Linked DNA regions of Mus musculus. The protein of the gene in region 2 interacts with the protein of the main gene of each other region in a pairwise test. Links are inferred from orthologs where the notes say so. Each region holds a gene or a part of one and is shown on either strand. Other genes may lie near its edges. The genes, in order: Samd3 and Hspd1.

Evidence for each region.
Region 1: the proteins of Hspd1 (region 2) and Samd3 interact in binary tests that used the Homo sapiens proteins (3 or more experiments, as listed by UniProt). The two-hybrid records come from large-scale screens. The link is inferred for Mus musculus from reciprocal best matches to the Homo sapiens genes HSPD1 and SAMD3.

Annotation. Positions count from the first base shown.
Region 1 is NC_000076.6:26,228,290-26,232,641, reverse strand, and holds the start of Samd3 (sterile alpha motif domain-containing protein 3), read right to left. Parts: upstream 2,936-4,352; 5' UTR 2,887-2,935; coding exon of another isoform or gene 2,828-2,886; intron 2,539-2,827; coding exon of another isoform or gene 2,517-2,538; coding exon 2,438-2,516; intron 2,425-2,437; exon of another isoform or gene 2,193-2,424; intron 2,162-2,192; exon of another isoform or gene 2,115-2,161; intron 1,815-2,114; coding exon 1,625-1,814; intron 1-1,624.
Region 2 is NC_000067.6:55,084,987-55,089,567, forward strand, and holds the start of Hspd1 (60 kDa heat shock protein, mitochondrial), read right to left. Parts: upstream 2,947-4,581; 5' UTR 2,793-2,946; intron 1,956-2,792; 5' UTR 1,954-1,955; coding exon 1,780-1,953; intron 1-1,779. Other genes in the region: Hspe1 (10 kDa heat shock protein, mitochondrial), read left to right, coding at 3,424-3,426, 4,065-4,229. UniProt on the Homo sapiens protein: Chaperonin implicated in mitochondrial protein import and macromolecular assembly. Together with Hsp10, facilitates the correct folding of imported proteins.

The DNA.
Region 1 (4,352 bases), on a different chromosome or scaffold from region 2:
TGGTCTGTTAAAGGGAGGGCAGATTCGCCCCAAGATTGTGGTGTTTCATGATGTGAATTCAAGCAGTTCAGAGTTCAGAGGCTTTCTTGATACGCAGATGAAGAAACAAAACTTCCAAACATTGAACAGAATGAATCTAAGTCAGCCAATAAAACCAAGAATGAAGTCCTAGCTCTTGGCAGTCCAACAACTTCTAGTGTGCTACAGAGCAGAGAAGTGGATTGATGGCCTGCCAGGGTTTTTTTTTTTTTTTTATTTTTGATTTTGTTTTGGTTTTTTTTTCTGAGCTATGCCCAAGGCAAGATCAAGATTCCAGTCAACTGGGGAGGGACTTCCAGCTCACCCAAATGTTCTTGGAAGTGACACTGCAGTCCCTTTGAAGCTCACCCCTCCCTTTCTCTAGAGAGCATTAAAAGGTTACAGTGAGAACTTCACACAAATGTCACAGACCCAATACCCTGCTTCAACCAGGGTCATAAAGAAAGAACTCCTTCAAATAAATCACTTGGAAGAATTTCCGCTTTGACTTCCTTTGTAACTATTGTTATTATTTTTTAAAGACAACATTTATCTCTGTACCTTAGACCAGCTTCAACCTCATAGCAATCCTTCTGCCTCGACCTTTTAACTGCTGGGGTTACAAGCTAACCCCATCCACATCTTTAGCCCTTCATGGCTACCAAATAATCCAAGTACACCAAGTAGAAATTAAATTACTTAAGCCAAGTCTCTCTGATGTTATATTGTTTATCAAAAAAGAAAGAAATACTTATACTTATAGGCCTAATTTCAGAAAAGGAAAAAAAATAAAATGATACCATTCAATATCACATTTTACAAAAAGAAAAAAAAAAGAATGGTGATTGGTTAATAGCAAATATTTAACCTTAAAAGTTATGACCAGTCTCAGGTGTGGAAATAGTAAATCAGAGTGCCTGAAAGAATCTTGATGCATGGATTTGTAAAACATTTTAATTGATGAAGCTCGTTACCATTCCTTTCCATTCCGGAGTTAAGAGATTAAAAGCAAACTAACAAACATAGCCACCCTCCAACTTGAGAGCTTCTTTGTGACACTGTGAATGTTCTGAATGATGTCTCGGTGTTTCTGTCACAGTGGTCTTTACTTTATGATCAGTTTTCAAAGAAGTATGAAACTCAGTTGTGACAAAGGTGTTAGCAATTGCTATTGTGAAAGGCCTTTGAGAAAAGTATGAATTAGTTACCACAGGGAGACCTATGCAAATAAACACACAAATGAACAAATAGTTTGGGACATGGCAAAGGACCAGCCACAGGTCCTTGTAGTAGCCCAGTTACATCATACATGCAGTTTCTACACCTAACGCATTCGTTCTACTGTGGGCTCCAGATCACGTAGCATAGGAACTTCGTGCCTGCAGGATTGCCTTAACAGCCACTGTCGGTTTTTAAAGAATAGTGGAAAGAAAAACAACAAATTCTGACTCAATTCTTCATACATGCTGGTCAAATATTAGAAGTCCTGTGCATACCATCTAACTGAAATTTGTCCACAGTTTTAAAAGCTTTGATTCTTTGACACAAGGCAATAGCCGTGCATAAACAGGGACCAAAAACCTAGCCCGTTCTCTGGTGTACTCACTCAGGGGCCGCTTGTGCCGGGGTCAGCGTGGATGTATCTGCGGGGCCTCCCGTAGGCTTCAGCTCTTGATTGCCCTGCTTGTATTTCTTAATGAAGTCCATCAGAACAGCCTGGTGTCCAATTTTCTTTACCAGTTGCTGTACCATCCGATCATTAAGGGCCAGGAGTGTGGCCCCACTGACTTCTTCCTCTGGGAAAAAAGAAAATTAACTTTCATATCACTTTCCAGGAAAACATGGGCACAGAAAGAAGATAAAACTAGTTCTGGTTTTAAAACGATTATCTAAGCTTGAGATGGCAGTCACTGCATTATCTGTCAGGGCTCTAATACAGCATAGTTCCAAACTGAAGCCTGCTGCTAAGAAATCACCAGACCGCAAGTCCCAATAAAAACTGCGTTTGTTTGTTTGCATATTAATACCCCTTTTCCAGGCCAATTTTTACAGTCAACAGAAATAGAAGTCTTTCGGGGAAGCTATTTTTATAATACCTCCTACTTGCTATTTAACACTGGCACATCCCATACTGTATAGAACACGAGTGATTATGTAAGACAAAAGAAACACACAAAGTCTATGTCAAAGGTAACTTCCAAGAGTTTGCAATCATCTGGAAATAACACTCTCTTCAGAGGATGCTAGGTAAACTGGAAACTGCCTCAGTCTGTGGGAAAGAGATGAAGTTCCTCATCAGAACAGCTCCTTATCCACAAACAGGCAGACCCTAGGCAAGAAAAGCAGCTTTCACAACAGAGCGCACCCGCACGACTGCATGGCTCAAATAAAATCCACACAAAGTATACAAACAACTTACCTTGAAACCTGGGGACTAGCTCACCTAAGTTTTTTTCCACCAACCATTTGCAGACCTGATCAACTGACCACGTTTCCATTGCTGGATTCTTGTCAATACACCTGTAGAATAAAAAGTGGGGATAGCTTGCCTGCTTGCCTGTCTCCCTCCCTTCCTTCCTTCCTTCCTTCCTTCCTTCCTTCCTTCCTTCCTTCCTTCCTTCCTCCCTCTCTGATTATTAGTCTTTGATTAGATTTTTAAACAGTCAGCTTTCTCTCCTCTGCTAAACTCCTTTCAATACATGGCTTTAAAAAGAAAATGTTTCTACAATGCAACATGTAAAAGTTGCTAATAAATCAAATTGTTGCTTAAAGGTGGATTTTAGCCTATTTCTCAGTCTCATTTCTTCACCTTCTCCTACTTGATTTCCGCAGGCATCCGTCAGCTTCAATAGCAGACAGCCGGCACATACAATGGTACCCAATGCTGTACCATTAACACCCAGGTTTCTTCACAAAGAACAGAAAGGTGTGAAATCATCAGGAAGTGGTTGACATTTACAGAGGGGTGGGCAGGGGAGAAAGGGAGGAAGGATCAGATAAAAGTCTGACTGAGAGACGTAAGTAAACCAGGATGCCTTAACCCCTTGCTTCTCCCAACTAAGAGAGAGATGACCCACTGTCCTCACAGCTCTGGGCCAGCAGCAAACTCTTTTCTCAGGGGAAACTAGCCTCATGTGCCATTCTCCTGTCGTTCCAATGTTACTCCTACATACTGGAGTATGCTCTCAAACAGTACCAAACACTATTGTAACACATCTATCTGTCTGTCTATCTATCTATCTATCTATCTATCTATCTATCTATCTATCTATAGCTTTATCGGTTATAACATATATGTATATACACATATATGTATATACAAATATGTATAATATACACACATATGCATATTTATACATATATATGTATATATGCATATATATACATGTGTATACATATATGAAGATATAGAAATATGAGGATACATACACATGGGTATGCATATATCTTTATATATCTATATCTATGTAGTTAGTTGTGCAGGTCAAGTTAGGACATACCTGAAGATGTTAGTGTTGTCAAAGTGAAAGAAGCAAACACAGATTTTGCATGGATCACTCTTAACTACCCCCACTAACTTTGCACCAACAGACCAGTCTACCATCTTCCATAAATTTGTAATTTCCTCGAGGAAGCTTTTTTTCTGCATTTATAATTCAACCCAGGAGACTTCTAAGGAATTGATAGAAACAAAGTCAAAAACAGTCTTAAATTATTTTAACCCTTCAACATTATTTTCAACATTGACTTTTATTCCAGATGATTTATCATTTTTCTGTATGATACCTGCTATTTTGTAAAGACAAAGTGAGAAGGTTCCCTTGGTGGAATTGGAATATAGATGTGTTTGTGTGTGTGTGTGTGTGTGTGTGTGTGTGTGTGTGTGAGAACATCTTTGTAGTTTTTAATTTTGTGTTTTTAACTAAATTATAGTTACCAACATCAGAAAAATAATCCCCAGTAGGAAGAAAAAAAGATGTACCCAACATTCAAGAAAACCTGACAATAACAGCCTTCAAAAGCAGTTTCCTAGAAAACAAGAAACTTCAAAGTAATGGGCCACACACTCCTAAGTATCCACAAACACTGACTGGAAAAACTGAAAACAAGGGTTAAATACAGAGGAACACCTTTAGAATTTCAACAGTGGATTTAATTTGCTTCAACAAACAGTAGCCACAAAGCTCCTCCCCAGGCTAAGCAGCAATTGCAGGGTGTGAAAAGTCATTATTTGCAAGACTCTGGTGTAAATTAAAAATCACACCTTTCTGTCACACTTCTGGCTTCCTTGTGAAGAGTAAGAGTTAGAAAAAATTGAAGAGAGAGAGAGAGAG
Region 2 (4,581 bases):
AAAACAAGAAAGCACAGATGTTAATCGCCAAATCCCAGAACACTCTTCACATCATTTGCACTTGAGTTTTGGCTATGACCTAGGTTTATTTTGTTTTCTGAGACAGGACATTTCTGTGTAGCCTTTCCTGTCCTCAAACTCACAAAACACAAAGATCTGCTTGCCTCTGCCTCCTAAAGGCTAGCTGGAATTAGAGGCATGCACCACTACCACTACAGCCCTGCTTATGAACTATTTTTAAAACATGTTTTGCTTTAAAATTCATTCACTAAATATCAGCCAGTAAGATAATGTGCTTTTCTGGTTCGCTCAATAAAAAACTTCAAATATGACACCAACAAGTATTGGCAACTTTTGGATTTGAACCAAACTTCTATTGTCTTGAGCTATGTAAACAGTTCTTAAAGATGCAGGTTTTGGGGGGGGGGGTGCATGTGTGGAAGACTTTTGGGATAGCATTGGAAATGTAATTGAGGAAAATACGAGAAAAAAAAAAAAGATGCAGGTTTTTTTGTTGTTTTGTTTTTCAAGACAGGATTTCTATTGTTGCCATGCTTTCCTGAAACTTAGAGAACTACCAGCCTAAGCCTCCTGAGTGTTGGGATTATGCAGCTCTTTAGACCAGTTTAGCATTAATTTAAAATGACTGTGCACCACATCCAATGGTGTCCTCAAAGTACTATAGCTCCCTATTCAGCCACACAAATGTGTGATCACAACCTCTGATCTTAGCACTGCTCTGAGTTCAAGGCTGACTTGGCCAGCTATGGTTAGAGACCCTGTGAGTATAATACTGAATTCCTACACTTGAGATGTAAGTTGTTCAAGGACAGCCTTGCCACAAGGGAGTTAGAACTCAGACTAAGCTAGTGAGACTCTCTCAAAAGCAAAAACTGGACAATTTTTTTGCAATGTGAAAATTGTAGCAATCACGAGGTGTACAATGAAGGGACGAATGGAAGACCACAAAGGTTTTCTCCCAAGGGCAAGTGAAAACAGTCTGGTGATATGTGTTGCAGAAGCTGGTGGATGGATCGCTCTGAGTCTCAGGACAGTCTAGGCTACCGGAGAAATGCTGTCTTAAAAACAAAACCCCCAAACAACAAAGCCCATAAAGTAAAGTTTGTAAAGATGGCTCAGCGGGTAAGAGCACTGACTGCTCTTCCGAAGGTCCCAGCAACCTTCAAATCCCAGCAACCACATGGTGGCTCACAACCACCCGTAATGAGATCTGACACCCTCTTCTGGTGTGCCTGAAAACAGCTACAGTGTACTTACATATAATAAATAAATCTTGAAAAAAAAAGGTTTAGTTACTTAAAAAAACAAAACAAAAAACACAGAAACCAATGATTCTATGCTAGTGCATTTTGCCTTATGTGTTGGAGTATTTCAGCACAATGAGTGAACTCTCACATTACAGCTATATACTTTGAGGTATTATTAGACTTAAGTTGTACTTTCCCCTCTATACCCTCTAACTACTGGGACGAGATCCAAAATTTAATGCAAGCATGCACAAAATCATGACTATAGTTTGAAAATCCTCCTTGAGATATTACTACTCTATTACATCACAATGTACAAAAGTCCCCCAAATCGCCTGGAGCAGTAGTAAGGACACCATGGTGGTAGAATGACCAATAGACCTCCTGACTAAATAACACCTCTAGACCACTAAGTTGTACCACATGCAAATTAGATTTTTCACAAAACTTGATAACAAATTGCTGTCTTGCAGCTACTATATTCTTTAACACCATTTAAGTATACTGGTACCTTTGGCCCCATTGTAACAGCTACAGCATCTGCTAAAAGGTCTACACCTTGAAGCATTAAGGCTCGAGCGTCCGCACCAAATTTTACATCTTTGGCATAGGCCCGAGTGAGATGAGGAGCCAGTGCCCGGGACACTGGTCTCATCTGGCGAAGGACTGTGGGTAGTCGAAGCATTTCTGGGGAAGGAAAAAAGAAAAATCACTACAAACTTGTCCAACGGTGCTTCAAAACATGGGAGGCTAGATTGGAGCTGGGCTGTCCTCTGCTAACCACCATGCCTGGGCGCTGCAGATTCAGGGCATAATCTGCTAGCCAACTGATCATGGAGGCTGACCCCAAGCCTGACCAACAGCATAAGCACAAAGCACAGAAAACCACATCCCCATGGCCACCCACTCTGCCCTCTCAAGTTAATCTTTCACTGCCAAAGCGGCCTTGGGAGCAGATCCACTCCGAAAAGTGTCCAAAGGAAAAAAATCAAGTTGGTGCAAGCAAGGCAGGTTCTAAATGCAATTGCCTAGAGAACTACAGAAGTACTCATGACGGTGCAAAACCCTCTGAGTGTGTCGCCAGGTATCCACCCGAAGCTACGGTAACACAGCAGCTAGCAAGGCCGGAGGAAAAGACAGTAGGTCAGTCCAGCCTCGCGGCCCCACGTGTCTTCCCGACCAGGAGCCCCGAGCAAGGTCAAAGTGAACACCGGACCGCCGCGGCCACCGGGGACTAAAGGACCCCGACCACCCTCCCACAGAGTCCTGCAGTGCGCCAGGCGCAGGTGGCACCAGAGGGCCCAAGTTGCTTCCACCCTAGCCCGCCCTTGCTCCGGCGCTCGGCCTGGATCGCGTGGTCCCCGCCACACGTGATGAAACCAGCGTGGCCCCGCTGGGCCTGGACAAGTGAGCCGAGCCTGCGGCGTCGCTGCCAGACTTCTCCCCCTAGTCCTCCGTGCTCGGTCCGCGCTGCAAGCAGCCCCCCGCGAGCGCCGGGGCGCCCTGCACGCCGAGGCCGCGTACCTGCGGGGCGGCGGCAGGAGAGCACGAGGCGAGGCAGGCCGTCTGCGGCGAGTGAGGGACCCAGCTCTGGGCGCGCACCGCAATGAGCCCGAGTCCCCTCCCTCCCCGCCCCGCCCCGCGGCCCCGCGTGTGCGCGCGCGCGCCCCCCGCTCTCTCCCACGCCGGGGCCCTGCAATCTGCATGCGGCGCGCGCGGCCCCGCCCTCCGTACCAGAGCCGCCTCAGCTCTGCGGCCTCAGCCCTCTCCCGCCGCCCTACGCTGGTTCCTGGGCCACGGTCCGTTCTAGAACCTTCCGGAAGGCCCCGCGCGTCCCGTGGGTGAAAGGTCAAGTGGCGTCATTTCCGGGAGGGGGGCTCGTTCTTTCACCTCGGCGGCCGGCCTGGAAAAGCCTAGAAAGTGCTCCCCTTTTCTTCCGCCTCCGGCCGCCCGCGTCGGCCCCCTTGCGCGGAGCCCTCGCCACCAATCGGCGCGCGCGTCGGCGTGGCCGCCCCCTCTCACGCTCGGGGGGCTGAGTGCGCCTGCGCGCTGCGCGGCCTTTTCACGTGTCCCAGCCGGCCAGCAGGACTCTCCTTGCAGCAGCGGCCCGAGTTCAGAGTCCGGAGCTGCGGTGGTGGCGGCGAAGGCGAGAGTCATGGTGAGTGTCTCGTGGTTGGCAGGCCTGCGGGTCCAGTTCGGCCTGCGGCCCACGGCGAACCCTTGTGCGCTTTGGGACTAATAGGACAGGGGTCCGGGGTCTGGTCAGTGTCCGGTGTCCGCCCATGGCTCTGCAGAAGCGAGGCCATTTCTCTCTCCACCATGGCTTTGCCGCACGCACGTGTGCGACAAAGCGTCTGGGGCAGGGGGCGGGAACCCGATGCACACGCAGAAGCCCACCTGCCCTGGCAGGGCTTCAGTGGATGTGTCCTATGTTGGAGAAAGACTAAGATCCAGGCTCGAAAAGTGACGCCACTCCCCCGTTATTCGAATTTTTAAAAAAATTAAAGAAATGTTTGACCTTGGAATAGATCAAGGTGGCGATTGCTGATTAGTAATGAAGACCCCCCCCCACCACCACCACCACACACACACACACACCAGACAGGGAAATGAAACTCAGTTTGTCCTATATAGAGTGGAACACTGAGTATATTCTAAAAGTACACTTGAATTTTCTTGTCCTTTTTGGAACAGGTCAGTTTTGACCTGTTGAGAGTTAAGGCTTGCGGTGGTCTTAACTGTTCGTGTTCTGACACTTCGAACTTACACTCTGTTTGATCACATTTCTCTCCACAGGCTGGACAAGCTTTTAGGAAGTTTCTTCCGCTCTTTGACAGAGTATTGGTTGAAAGGAGTGCTGCCGAAACTGTAACCAAAGGTGGCATTATGCTTCCAGAAAAGTCTCAAGGAAAAGTGTTGCAAGCAACGGTCGTGGCTGTGGGGTCAGGAGGGAAAGGAAAGGTAAACTGGTGCCCCTGGAGTGGTACTGAATTCCAGTGTGATGTGGAAGGAGGGGAATTCCTTTGGTAATTAAAAAAATGAATTACAATGGCATTTTTGGGGGGAAGAATTTCAAGTCAAATTTCAATTCACAAAGAACCTCCCATTCAGGAAAATGACTGTTTTATATTGTTTTAGAATTATTTTATGTTTCTGAAGAAAGGCAAAAGGTATTTGTGTGACGTGTTTGCACATGTCTATATGCTGTGTAGCAGGGGCATCTCCACCTTACTCCTTTGGGGTAAAGTGTTGACTAGTCTGGTTTCTGGGCCTCAACATGTTGCGGGTTACAGCCTTTTTACTCTAGTTTTAG